2 linked regions of the Caenorhabditis elegans genome follow. The protein of the gene in region 2 purifies or fractionates together with the protein of the main gene of each other region. This does not show direct contact. Each region holds a gene or a part of one and is shown on either strand. Other genes may lie near its edges.

Region 1 (7,226 bases), on a different chromosome or scaffold from region 2:
CGAAGGAGCAGAGAGAGGGAGAGATGTGCTCTCCCTACATCGATTGTGCTCGAGACGACGTGTGCTCCCCGCGGCTTGGGGAGTGGCTGGCATGTGGGCACGCTTTTCTTTTGGGGGCCTCCATCTTGCTTTTATTACTACGAGCTTTGTCTGCAAAACGAGAAACCACAACAATTTGGTTTTCTCACGCGAGTGGAGCCTTTTTCGATTCTTCTTTCTATCATTTTTTATTTCTTCTCCCACCCCTTTCCTCTTTTTTTTTCTCTTTCCTATTCATTTTCGATTCAATAGACTCTTAGGGTCCCTTTGCTCAAGCGCAACCGCAACATTGATGATCTTTCACTCGTTTTCCGCTCTTTTTTGCCACAGCTCCCCATTTCTTTCAAGTTTCTGTGAAATAGTTACATATCCTTTCAGTTTACATCTTGATCAACATGGATCAGCAATGTTTCCTAATTAAAAAAAAAATGTTTCAGTTTGCTTATTTTTTAAACTCAAAAATATAATTCTTGATATTTTGTGTCGCTGTTCAACGATTTAACTTTGCTTAAAGTAATATCAAAAATGAGATAATCTTCATCGTCATAAATTTTTTGAAAAACCTTTGTCAGAGATTGAAAATGGGTCAGTGCCAATATCATTTTGGTCAGTGCCTGTATCATTTTTGTCATTGCCATTATCATTTGTTCAGCGCATTTATCATCTTGGTCAGTGAAAATTACCTAATTAAATTTATTGTTTTCCAAAATAGTAATGCATTCAAATTGAAAATAAAGTGGTGATATTTTCTTTAGTATTTTCAATTTCAAGAAGTATGTATGCACATGGAGACCCACCTGCCAAATAACGAGAAGTTGCTTGCAAATTTGATTTTTTTTTGGATTTTTAGCTAGGAATTCATATGATTATGATTGCTGTAATTTTTTCTTTGCGTTTTCTGTTGGTGATATTGTTTTTCAGTGTTTCCAAGTTCCATACTCCTTTTTTCATATAAAAATGTTTCAAAAACATAACCTAACAATTTAGACTCTAGTTTTTCAATGCAGATTTGATTTAATTTCAGTACTTTCAAACGAACATTATCGTGATTTATGTTTTTCGTTTCAAAATTTTCGTTCTTATTTCATTCGCCGCCAAAATCAGTAAAAGTATCTTTAGTCGCTTAAAAAAGTAAAAGTAAAAACAGATTCATCCACTTTAGCCGTCAGCTTGAAAGAAAAAAAAATGCTATCCTCTTTCCTTCGTCAACTCTTCGTCCGTATTTTCTTCGCCTCTATTTTCTATTCTGCCTCTCTCAGCTTTTTCGCTCCGAAGCTCCCTCGCCAAAGTGGGTGGAGCATAGGAACTGCAGAGGGGTCCCCCTTCTTTCTCCCCTATTGAATTACTCTGAGCTGCGAAGCGTAGCTCATGGTTGCCCAAAGTCAATTCTTTCTCTCTAGTCAAATGGAAGTTTTTTTTCTTTTTTTTTCTTTCATCTTGTTCGTCTTTTGAAAAATGTATAACTGAAACATAATATAAAAATTAATTAAAATTCGAAAAAACGTCCTTCCCAATCATTTTTCAGGCACTGACAATATTTGAATTTGCACTGACAATATTTGAAGTTGCACTGACAATATTTGAATTTGCACTGACAATATTTGAATTTGCACTGACAAAATTAGTTTTTGCACTGACCCATCAAGAAACAGTTTATTTCTTATATTTTCCGTTCTTTTTTCTAAACTATTTTTTTTTAATTTTAACCGTCCTAAAAGTTTTCCAGGTAAATGTCAAACAAGGAAAGAACAGAGCCTCAGTGGGTAACGCCGTCGTCAAATCAGGTATCACAGCAAGTGCGTGTTTCACTCACATTTTTCAAACTCCCCCCTCACACGTCTAGTCACAAAACCCCTCCCTATCTGATCTGAGCATAATCCAAAAAAAATACTGTTGGCATTAACCATCACTCACATCTATTCTATCCACGCTTTTTGAGCATGCTTCTGCTGTTGAGCAGAGTAACCGTTCTGTAACTCACAATGTTGTCGCTTTGTTATTGTCTTCTTTCACACGTGAATATTAACGATTTGGGAATTGGAAAAAAAGGAAAAGGAAGAGAAAGGACTCGCGACACCAACAACAAAGAATTATTCTGAATAAGGGCTGTGACGAGCAGGAAGTAGTGTAATTTTTAATTGGACGGTTTTAAGAAAAGTGTTATTTTATTCATAAGTTCTTTTTAGTTTGTTCGATAGTTGAATTTCATGAATTTTGCACTTTATAGATAATAGTGCATATCAGGGCTGTTTTTTGTTTAAAAAACAAGTACTCGTGTATTAAAGATGGAATACAGTCAGTGGGAAATTGCTTTAAATACACTTAAAATGGCCATTATAATATTAAAAAACTTCAGACATTTCTTTAGATTTAAAAATTTTTAAAATCAACTTTTTAGTAAATTTCCAGAAGAAAAGGACTTTTTGTGAAATTGAAGAGTTTCTGCGAGTTAAAACAAAATAATTGAACTGTAATTAGAATACACAACTTACATTAAACAAAAATCATTTTTCGGGCGATTTTCAAAATTATGATCGGTGTTTGAGTTTTTACCATTTTTTGACTGCACATAAAAAACCAAACAAATTTCTTCCAATTTTATCATTTACTGTTTAAAAAAATTTTCCCACTGACTAAACTCCACCATTAAACATGATGTGATTGTTTTTCTTTAAACTATGAAATCGATGTTTCTAAAACGTTACAGTACACAAATACCAAAAAGTTGTGCCACTATAGTTTTTTAACTGAAATTTTTTTTAACTTTGAGTTTTATGTTTTCAATACACTTCAGTATTTTCCAGAAAAAAACTTACTCAAGCTTAATTTGTCGATTTTAAAATTTTCCAAAAAAATGTAAAACGATTCTCATTAAGTCGACCAAATCAAAAATGGAATTGGATTAACAGATTGAAAAAGTATATTTCCTTATTAAAAGCTTAGTTATTTTTTGTTAATTTTTGAATTAATGATACAAAATTTGGCTTTTTTAAGAAATATTTTCACATTCCCAAAATAAAAATTTTAAATTGAGAAACTTCAATTTTCAAATTTTCATATTTATTAGTTGTTTTTTTTTCTGTTATGGGTGGGATTCTAATTTTGCTTCTCATTCATTTTCCTTGGCGTGCAATTTTTATTTAATTAGCCATATGTACTTTTATACACGCAACAACAAGCACTTTATCAAAGGGCACGTCAAAAGTTCTCGCAAATTCTCAATTTACTTCGCTTTACGCTCAGAATAATTATTTTTCCCTACGGAGAAAAAGAGTCGCCCTGGGAAAGAAAGGGTAAGTGGGGGAGGGGGGTACATTTTAAATGTGCTCTTTTCTCTCTATCTCAGGCCAAGTTGATTTATGTCTCGAGTCCCTTTTCCTTTTCTTGAATACCCGAAGATTCCAATACTTTTTGCATTCCATCAAAATTTGGAGTAAAATATGGAATCGATATGGAAAAATCTTGAATATTGATAATTAACTTTGCAGGATGTGCCACCTGATTACGAGACGATTGGCACAATCTTCGGTTATGCGTTACAAGCTCTTTCATGGATACTTATTATTGTCACGTTTCCATTTTCCATGTGTGTATGCTTAAAGGTTTGTTTTTTCTTCCAATTATCTAATGAAAAAGTTTTTAATTTTTCGGGGAAAAATTTAAAAGAAGTTGAGTGTTTTTAAAGGTGGATTTGGTGGGGGAAACGAAACCCATAAACGCCGTTATTTAAAAAATGGTCAATTTAAAAATAGTCAGCTTTTTAATTTTTTCCCCCAAAATGGTATTGATTTCATTTAACAATTTGACATCAACATTAATAAAACATTAAGATCACGTAAAATTGTGCTAAAAACGAAAATTTTCACGATTTTTCTAAACTTCACATACTCGAAAAAAAAACTATGATAATTAATTGGCAAAACAACTTTGTATAAAAAGTTAGTTGAAAATCAAACACAACTTTAAAAACGTTTCTTGTTTACTAAATTCAATCAAAAATAATTTTCTGTGTAAAAAACGTTTGTTTGAAGTTTCAAAGCGTAGATTGTAACTTTTTCGATTTTTACTGATTTAACAATATTCAATTTGATGGAAGAGTATGATGATCTGATTATTTTGTTTTCTTAAAAATTAAGATTAACAAATATAATTGTTTAAAAATTTTTCTGTCTCACAGTTTTCAATTTTGTTCAATTTTCCCAACAAAAAAAAATCAAATGGCTAATTAAACAGCGCCCACTTTTTTGGGTTCTTAGATTTTTGGGTTTTTGGTTGTTATTTTCTGATCTAATGTAACGTAATGTAATAATGTAATGTAATATAATATAACGAAATAACTGAAGAAAAAAAATAGAGCCATTAACTAAATACTCCAAAAATGTGGGCATTGCCTCGTTCAGAGCAAAATACCAATTAACAATAAAACTGACCAATATTCTAATTGCCCTGACCAAAACTTTAATTGCACTGACCACAAATCTAACTGGATTAACTGAAAGTTTGAATGCACTGGTCAAAAATATTTTTTGCGCAATGCAATATTCAAACTGCACTGATTTTCTGACCTGGGCTCACTTTTAAGTCAAACAGCGACATTAATCAATTTTCTTTAAGAAGTAGAAAACTTGGGGTTCAAAGTTATTTATTGATTGTTTTTATTCAAAAATCTATCAAATTTTCAAAACACAATCGATACCTTTTTTTGGAATATATTAACTCCAAAAGTTCCTAAAATGATACATTAATGATTTCCAGGTTATCAAAGAATACGAGCGAGTTGTAATCTTCCGTATCGGTCGTTTGGTGTTTGGAGGAGCTCGTGGTCCTGGAATGATCTTCATCATTCCCTGTATTGATACTTATCGAAAAATTGATCTTCGGTATGATTTGACTTAATGTCTCGAAGAAACGTTTATGATTATTATTATTCTCATTTAGTGTTGTCTCGTACGCAGTTCCACCGCAGGAAATCCTGTCAAAAGACTCTGTGACTGTATCCGTCGACGCCGTTGTCTACTTCCGTACCTCCGACCCGATTGCTTCCGTCAACAATGTTGACGATGCCATTTACTCCACCAAACTGCTAGCGCAAACTACGCTGAGAAACGCTTTGGGTATGAAAACTTTGACTGAAATGCTCACAGAACGTGAAGCCATTGCTCAACTTTGCGAGACCATTCTTGATGAAGGAACTGAACATTGGGGAGTTAAGGTGAGATTTTTTTTCCCAAAAGTATAATAAACTGATCACTCAATGCTCATATTTGGGGCTCCTTCGCCAAATAATACTAAAACTGAGAAGCTCAATAAAAACAATTTCGTAACCCAAACAAACACACCGATTAGCCTCCAGAGAGTTAGTAGTTATTTTGGGGATAAACAAGTATGTTTTGTTGGAGAAATACCCAGAAATCTCGACGAACGGGTAAATATGATGGGCAGTAGTTTTAAGGGGTGGAAGTTTGACAAAAAAAAAAGTTTTTGATAAAGTTTCTGGTTTCTAAAATAATTACAAGAATGAAATGTTTTGCTTTAAGTTTTAATTGCACTGACCAAAACTTCAATTCTACTGTCTAAAGTTCTATTTGCACTGACCAACACTCTTATTGCACTGACCATTATTCTAATTACACTGACCACAACTTCAATTGCACTGACAAAATTTTGAATGCACTGTTAAATTGAAAAATTTGCGTAAAACAATATTTTAACTGAACGGACTTTCTGCGATTTGCCAAACTAATTCACACTCAAAAACTTCTTCTTTCTTGAGAAAACATTTATTTTTTGTCGCAAAAAAATATAGAAAATCTATCATGTTACTTTTTTTTTCAAATCTAGTCAATTTCATGTCTGACAATTCAAAGCCATCAATCATTCCATTACAGGTAGAACGTGTGGAAGTGAAGGACATCCGTCTCCCCCAACAACTCACACGTGCCATGGCCGCCGAAGCCGAGGCCGCGCGTGAAGCTCGAGCCAAAGTTGTCGCCGCCGAGGGAGAGCAGAAGGCGTCACGGGCTCTCAAAGAAGCGGCCGATGTCATTCAAGCGAACCCAGTTGCTCTTCAGCTTCGTCACTTGCAAGCACTCAACAGCATTGCGTAAGTTGCCACACTTCTCGAATAAATTTAATTTCGGTGAGAAGAGAGATGCGTGCTCTTTTGGATTGAATTTCGAATTAGTCACCAACTTTGAATTGTACCAATTTTTGAAACTATGGAAAATCGTAGAGGAACCGAGCTATCGCTAATCCAATTTTTTTCAGAGCTGAGCACAATTCTACAATTGTTTTCCCCGTACCTGTGGAAATGTTTGGAGCATTTATGAAAAAAGACCAATAATCATATTTTCCTTTTTTTCTCTATAAATGCTGCACCTTTTGAAATTTGGATCCCAGATAGTGCATTATTAATAGATCAATCATTTGTATTAATTCAAAGTCTATATACATACAATTATCTTTCAAATAGCCTTTATCCTACCAATACTTTCCTAAACGTTCTCGATTTGCACAAAAAAAAACCAGCCAAACAAAACACAAAACTCTCTAATTTCCCCCAAATTCCGATTTGCAACTGTCATTCAACCCGATCATGTATTTTCTGAACTTTTTTTCAAAATTTACGAAACTCTAGTTCTTCTTATTTTTCATTTATATATTCATGAATAAATCAGTTATTTATTATGTGAAAGTATCAGAAAAAAATTAAATTTTCTGTGAAATGTTCAGGAAAATATATCATGGAATTTTTGAATACCACAAATGAGCGGTATCACAAAACTAACAAAAAAAAATAAATATAAAAATAAAAAAACCGTTTTTTTTTCTAGAACTGTATACTTCAAAGGTTTTTGAGTTTTTGAAGTGTTTTTCTGGCAACAATCTAAAAACTTTTTCATCCTTGGTTAAGAAACTTAAAGTATTAGTGCAAAGTATAGAAAATTACAAAAACATTTTCCGGAATGGCATTAAAATTTTGGCAGGAATTCAAACTTCTTTAAAAAATTGTGGTCATTAATTCAAAAATTTCAAAAAAAAAGTATGGGTAAGAATTCAAATTTTTCCGAGAAGTTAGGACAGGAATTTTTTTCTAAAAGTGATTTTTATTAATTTGAGATTGCCTGAAAAATATTGATCTTGACATTTATAACATTGGAAAATTGGGATTTCTAATTATCAAAAGC
Region 2 (7,191 bases):
GTTCTAGTAAATTTTTTATGTTTAAAAAATTCGTTGCCACGAATTGATTTTTTCGATAGTAAATAATTCTTTAAGATAATTTCAGTTCACGTTTTTTTCAAAACAATCGTTTAAAAATATTTATTATTCCGGAACAAAATTCTTCAAATTTTTTAAACATCTCCGAATTCTTTCAGCCCGCTTCTTCTAAAATCCATAATATTTTTCTAAAGATTTCTAAATTTTCGCCCCCTGTCGAATTATCAAGAATTTATAAAGTTTAAACAGACTGTTATGAAATAATTTTTCAAATTAAAAGAATCTAATTTGTTCCGAGCAAATGTTTCAACCTTTTTTGCATGATATCCTCTTTTTTTTATGATTTAGCATAATTAAAGACATTAATATCTTTTAAATATTTATTCATCCTATACAAAAAAGTTTCTGCTATTCAAATGTCAGTCATAAAAAATGCTCAAAAAAGAAAGACAACAATTTACAAAAGTCTAAAATATAATTTACCCGACATCAAAAACTGATAGAAATTTAGTGGAATTTTTATTGTAACTATTTGCTCATTAACTCCTTTGTTGATTCATTTGTTGAAACTTCATCTTCTCCTGGTTGGCTTTTTTTAGGCGATCGTTGAAGAAAATCAATGTGCATTAATGAAGATGATGTGTATTCTTTTCCTTGCATCTTTTTCTGTACATAGACTATTCCTTTGAAATACATTAGTTTGCAGATCTGTAATTCAATATTCTTTTGCGTCAAACTATCTAATAAGTTTCTTCCAACCTCGCAGAAAAGTTCTGCAAATTCAGCAAACGTAATGACTGAAAATCCAATCCATAATCCAATATTACCTCCAAAATCTGAGAAAAGATTGACGAGCTGAAATATTCAAATGTAGCTGATCTTTGAATAGATAATTCTATGAAGTTTGAACTATTGATATAAATAATCCGATTATTTCGTTTTTTCTCCGAAAGTTTCATAAAACATGAATTTTAAAAGTACTAGTACTGACCGTGTAACCGGCGGTTTCTTTCAGCGATTCGAAATTCAATTGTTCGTAGTAAATTTCAATGTAAGCAGTGTTTTGACGATAATATTCGGTACAAGCTTCAGTGTCGTTGAAAATATCTGATACGGCGGGGCAGTCGGTACCTGAAATTATGTGGTAGAGAAAGATATGAGTCATAGAAAAACCAACCAATTTTGAAATTTTGACTGGGCCATGCAGATGCAGAGTAAGCAGTCTCAAATACTTTTTCATGACATGGCTGACGACATTCACATTGTTCGTGTAGATGGTGGTAACCTCCAGAGTCACTTGTTAGGTTTGATAAACATTGACCTGAAAAATACATTTTTTGAAAAAAACATGTTTCTACAAAATTGAAGTATTCAAGGATTCAATATTTGACTTTTTCTTCATTGTGGTAAATTCGATAATGAGGAAAAGTTCCAAAACTTGTGCAACTTATGTGTTCCCATTTGGCACTCCGCTCAGTTGGTGCTTGGCTGGGTGCCTCTTGGGTTATGTTTCTGTGATTTTCTCCTTTTTAAGGCGTCTTCTGGGTAACTGGTAAGAAAGCGAAAAAATATGGAGGAGAGATGCTCACTGTAGAATCAGTAGATTTTTTAGTTAATAAAATGCTATTTATAACTTTTCTGTTTCGCCGAAATTATTTCTAATTTTCTTAATGTTTTAATGAAAAAAACTAACGATCAATTTTTGACTTCGCATTACAATGTCTATGCTCTTCAGATGGTAGAGGGAATCTTGGATCTCCACATCCACATATTTCAAGTACTTTCAATTGGAAACAATTTCGATGGCAACCCTAAAAATATAAATGTTTGATTAAGAATGGGAAATGTTACATACTTCAGGAGAATAGTGTTCGTTGTAAATGTATGGAACCGGTCGGAATGTGTCACTGCAATTCCCCCATGGAGCACTGAGACGATGTAGTTCTTTCTGAAATCGAACTCTGCAAACAGATTCTCAAGAGTATTTAAATACCGTTTTAAGACCAAATGAAGAAATGAATCCAGTTGGAGCACTGTATCCAAATGTATCAGGGAACGGTTCTTGATCTTGTTCATGGACAACTAATCGAACACCTGCTGCTTCTGTTGTTGGCATGTAATCGCTTTGATGCACGTTTAATAATAGACGGAGACCTTTAAACAATAAATTGTTTGGTTATCTAATGCATTGAAAACACAAGCTTTTGAAAAACTTACCATACATGGGACCAGCTCTACTGTTTTTCAACTCCACCGAATCATTGAAGTTAAATGTGTAGCAATTGCCGTATTCAGGATCAACGTGAAGTTTAAAGTCACTTCAATTTCAAGATTTACATGACATTTAAAAGAAAACACTTACCGCTCCATACTACAATCCTTCGAATTAAACGAACATCGAAGAACAAACTCATTGAGGGTGTATGACAGGTTCCTTCTTGTTTCACGGGGTAAAGCAGCCACTAAGAAAATTAAATTTTCTTTTGTTTGAGTTGTGATGGCTCCCGCATCTTTGAGGTCCTGAAAATTATCCTATGAATAGAATATTCCATTGAGAAATGTCTTACGCTCAATCCAAAAGCTTCTTCGGTTTCAGTTATTTCTGTGGTCGGTGGTTCAGTTACAGAATAAACTGTATAATTGTTTGGGTTCCACCATCGGATTTCGTCCTAAGATTTTGTCAATTTAATTCGGAAAAAAGTTTCAAACTAACCTTTGGATGTACCATACAATGATGAGAAATTGATTGGCAAAGACATGGAAGTGGACTGTTATGTTTTGCGATTTGCTTTGAAGCATTAGGACCATCCGGGTCAGGACAAGTATTGGAAATTGAACAACCAGAACATTTCTAAAACTAAAATTAGAAATGATAAACGGAGAGTTATCATACTTTTACAGTCCATACGGAAGTTGGGTAGCATGGCCAGATTAAGCCACGTGTCACGTCTTCAAAGCACATACAAATTGAGGCGTTAACCTGAAAAATTATACATTTTTAAATAAAAGTCATCTAGCAAATTTCAACTTGATTTGCAAGCTGTTTTCAAATAAATATTCCAACCTCTAAAGGATTCCTATTTGGTACACATTGTTCCATATTCATACAGGTGCATCTCACAAAGACTGGCTGATACACTGCACCCTCTAAGTCTTCGTCATCAATTGGAAAAAGTAATTGATCTCGACTTTTTGATCGCTTTCTGGAAATATTTTACAAGTTTACGTTGTGTACATCTTATCACTTACTTCCTGACACTGATTGCTTCTAGAATATCACCTCCTGGCTTCATACTGTCACTCATCATTCGAGCATTTATCACCCGTTCCCAATAGTCAAACTGAAACACCAAATTCAGATTTTCAGAAATTCCAATAATTTTATATGAAAACTTACACCCTCTTTAATTTCTTCATACTGCGTGAGCTCGCTATATTTGAAAGCATTCAAATTGCAAACTGTTGCAGCGGGAAATGCAGCTGAAAATAAATTATTTTAGATAAATAAATGTTGATTAATTTACCAGCTTCAAACTGCAACTGCATTTCAATAATTGTCCTATACTGCAAATATTCTGACATTGTCCAATAGGTTTGTAATAAGAATGCCATTAACATGCACATGAAGAGTGCCGCCCATACATATCGGCCAAAAAATGAAGATGTTCTGCAAAATAAGCATTTTCAGATAAATACAAAATGAAAAAAAAACCGTACGCAACATATGGTATTCCATGGGAAGAAGTTCTGGCACAAAAATCAAACCAAAGGGATTTTATTGTTGTTGTGTGATAGTCTATTTTTTGTGATCTTAACGATTTCCGGGATGACGTTCGGCGTTCCGAGTAGAGAGCTGATGCATGAAGCTGAAAAAATGAGTTGAAATGTTTTGGAAACATCATTCAAATTCAAGCAAAGAGTATACAATAGTAAAATAATTTTCATTGATCCTATATTTTTGAAAACAATTTTATTGTGATCACCGAAGATTCGAAATTATTAGGGCCCCATTTACTAAATAAACCACTGAAAACCTTGGCAACTTCGTATATTAGAAACATGACAAAAATAATTTAATAGAAAAATATGTGTAAAGTTATACTTTTAAGAACGAATTGCGTCGTGTTCCACTAGTAAAATGAGAAATGGACGACATTCTGATAATGCTCAAAAATGTAACATCTTTTGATTCATAACATCTTCCTAATGCTCAAAATAACAACGATAATTTTTTTTAAAGAATAGGCGAAGCAAAACTTAATATCTGTTGTATTTTCCTTTCTTATTTCGATGACAACCCGCAATTTTGAATCAAAAAAATCTCGGTAAGAACGAAAAAATGAAACAAAAGTTTGAAAACGTAGCTTTGAATAAAACTCACTTTTGACCTGTCATCTTCCTCTTCAAAGTGTGGATGAACTCCTCCAGCGTATGGAGATGGTCTAATATATGGACTTGACCTGCTCTCCATTGATTCTGGTTCATGGACGAGTCTCTGCAATAAAAATATGAAGGAAATATTTCATAGTGAAAAGCTGGAATGTCTTCAACTGTAGCATGCTTATGCAAAACTTTTGAAGATACTAAACAATATTGTTGAGAAAAAATGAGAGCAAGCTCTTGAAAAGCTTGTATTAGGACGCCGTGTGGCCCCGGAGTCCCCACAATATAAGCTTATCTAAATGGGAATCTTGGTTTCAAATGTTCAAATCTACTCTCTTTTATCTTTTTCTCCTATTATTCAGTTGACATTCTTTTGGGTGGATCAGGAGGATATGCTAATTTCATAAAGGACCGAGTAGAGAAGAATTCATCAAACAGGGTTCATTTTAATAAAATTGTATGTATTAAACGAAAAAAAGGCGGGAGCTATAAAAAATAATAGTCAAATAAATTTAGGGTTTAAACTTTATCTATTACTCTAAAATAATAGTGTGAATTATTAAAATTTTGAAACAGATAGATTCAATAAATGTAGAAATGTGTTGCTCTGAAAACAAAATAAACGACAATTTAAATAATTTTAAAGATGTTTTAAATTCAATTCTATAACAAAAATTAATACTGTTCCTAACCAGAACTTAACTTTATTTTTTAAACATAAAATTGTGTACCACCTTGAACTGAAAATAGTGTCAACTTCAAAAATTGTGTGACATGAAACAAAAGCTTGGGACACATTTTGAAAAAGGAAAGTCCTCTTCCTGAGGGATCAACTGAAAGACAATTGGCCTCTCTTGGGATCATTGCATGTCGTATTACTCTTCATTCTTTTTTTGGTCTTGCCGCGATTTCCTTCTTGGTTTTTTGTCAAAAGACGGGGGTTTTACACGAATCTGCGATTAGCTTCACTTCGGGGAACTCCCAATTGGGAAATTTATTACCAAGGTTCCTATTTTTGGATTAAAAGTGGTTATTGGTTTTGGGATAATTTTTGGTTATTGTTTGGAAAAAGAATTTACATTTACCAATAGTATGACTGAAAATAGAAGTTACCTGACACATATCAAGTTCCACGTCAGCAAAGGTGACATTTTTTCGAATTTTGTGCCGAATTGCATCCTTGCGACGTGGAAATGTATATTTTGGAATCATAAAGTGCACAGACTAACGGATTCAAAATTTTGACAAGAGACGAAAAGTAGACGAGGGGATTGGAAGAGAGTCATCTATCTTTTTGTTGCTCTGAGAGCCCATCCGCAATTAGATGTATATTGTTGACGTCTCTGTTGGACATCTTCTTACTACAGAAATTCAGAAGAGACTTTGAAAATAAAAGATCGAAAAGTGTAGTTTTTAGAAGTTCAAACTACCGGAAATGCTCCCAATTTTATCAGCTTTTGACTTGAAGTTTTTAAATTTGTTTTCCGTTTTTGGTTTTAGTATACGGTGAATAAATTTTGAAAAAAAAAGAACTCAAACAAATATTCAGGCTTTTTCTAGGAAGGCACAAAATGTCTGCCTGTAGTGTGCCTATACCTGTTACTAGAACAGGATAAATTAAATTTTATGATTAATGATTCGAGTAAAGCAACTGATATTGAACTTTGACGTTCTTCATGTGGTTATTCTAATAATTTTGCAAAATTTATTTGAATACACTTTATGAAGTCGCAACTGTATTAATTTTAATACATATATTTAGTTACTTCAATAAGGCAAAACGGGTATTTAAATGCGCTTCTTAACTTTCCTACACTATTTGAATAACCCATTATTCATTTATGAACTTGTACTGAAATTCCAGTACACTTCTTTTCATTTGTAATACTTTTAAAAATTTGTATTTGTTTTAATTGGAAACAATTTTCAAAAGATATAGTTTATGAAAATCTGTTCAAGTTTTCATTCTCACCTCATCAAATTCAAATTCTTCTTCATTCTCAATAAGTTTATAACAACAGGGTCGCCGACAGAGATGAGTGCGATGTTTTAGAATTGGAGAAATCATTGGTATAAATGAAAAAAGAAAAGCCTTCCATGGGGATATGGGGATTCATCAAGTTTATGATATTCCATAAAGCTTTATGAAATTCGGAAAACAGTAATAAAATTTGATTTGAGTATTCACTTGACACTAGTATTAACTCACTTTACTCTCTGATGTGGCCGATACAAGTCTTTCTGGAGATCCTTTTGTCTGTAAACTTTTTAAAGAAAAAACTACAGAGTTTCTATATTGTTTCAAATGAATTTACTGTATCTGGATTAAAACTTAATTTTTAAAATTTAAAACTTCTATGGGGACACAAAACTTATAACTACCGTTTCAATCCAGAAACAAAATTCTCAAAACTAATTCAAAATATTTATTTCAAAATAATCTTACCATTCGTGATGCTGTACTCATACTTCCACTACTCCTTGCGCTCATCTAAAATAGAAAAATAAATGTCAATAAGAATTTTTAGAAGAGAGAAAGGTGCAGAAGTAGGCAGAAAAAGAATAAGGCAACATTCAAAATGTCGTTGGTCATTCCATTGTGTATTGGAAGAAATGTTGGACTTATTTCCGGTATAAAGGTGAAAAGTTTTGAAGAAGAAGCAGAAGAGGGTGTAGGAGAATCTTGCTCAAAAATTAAGGAATTTATTCACTGAGATTAGTTATTTTCCTGAATCGGTATCAATTTCAACCTTTTGGATTAATTTTTCTAATTGTTATTTTTTTTATTAG

Evidence for each region. The genes of interacting proteins can lie anywhere in the genome.
Region 1: the proteins of unc-8 (region 2) and unc-1 purify together in Caenorhabditis elegans (affinity purification with western blotting, with the first as the bait; one study listed by BioGRID). This does not show direct contact.

Annotation. Positions count from the first base shown.
Region 1 is NC_003284.9:1,056,987-1,064,212, reverse strand, and holds unc-1 (Band 7 domain-containing protein), read left to right. Parts: upstream 1-1,759; 5' UTR 1,760-1,769; coding exon 1,770-1,835; intron 1,836-3,527; coding exon 3,528-3,641; intron 3,642-4,794; coding exon 4,795-4,919; intron 4,920-4,977; coding exon 4,978-5,251; intron 5,252-5,927; coding exon 5,928-6,142; intron 6,143-6,306; coding exon 6,307-6,382; 3' UTR 6,383-6,726; downstream 6,727-7,226.
Region 2 is NC_003282.8:7,196,854-7,204,044, reverse strand, and holds unc-8 (Degenerin unc-8), read right to left. Parts: upstream 5,614-7,191; coding exon 5,515-5,613; intron 5,310-5,514; exon of another isoform or gene 5,142-5,309; coding exon of another isoform or gene 5,084-5,141; exon of another isoform or gene 4,957-5,083; intron 4,514-4,956; coding exon 4,400-4,513; intron 3,885-4,399; coding exon 3,736-3,884; intron 3,686-3,735; coding exon 3,543-3,685; intron 3,499-3,542; coding exon 3,416-3,498; intron 3,360-3,415; coding exon 3,268-3,359; intron 3,222-3,267; coding exon 3,083-3,221; intron 2,999-3,082; coding exon 2,912-2,998; intron 2,870-2,911; coding exon 2,732-2,869; intron 2,688-2,731; coding exon 2,586-2,687; intron 2,539-2,585; coding exon 2,381-2,538; intron 2,337-2,380; coding exon 2,236-2,336; intron 2,173-2,235; coding exon 2,012-2,172; intron 1,967-2,011; coding exon 1,874-1,966; intron 1,830-1,873; coding exon 1,712-1,829; intron 1,340-1,711; coding exon 1,196-1,339; intron 1,150-1,195; coding exon 1,010-1,149; intron 874-1,009; coding exon 778-873; and 3 more. UniProt on the Caenorhabditis elegans protein: Sodium permeable non-voltage-sensitive ion channel. Involved in the activity-dependent removal of selected presynaptic proteins, such as synaptobrevin snb-1, and Ras-related rab-3, in the remodeling of GABAergic motor neurons.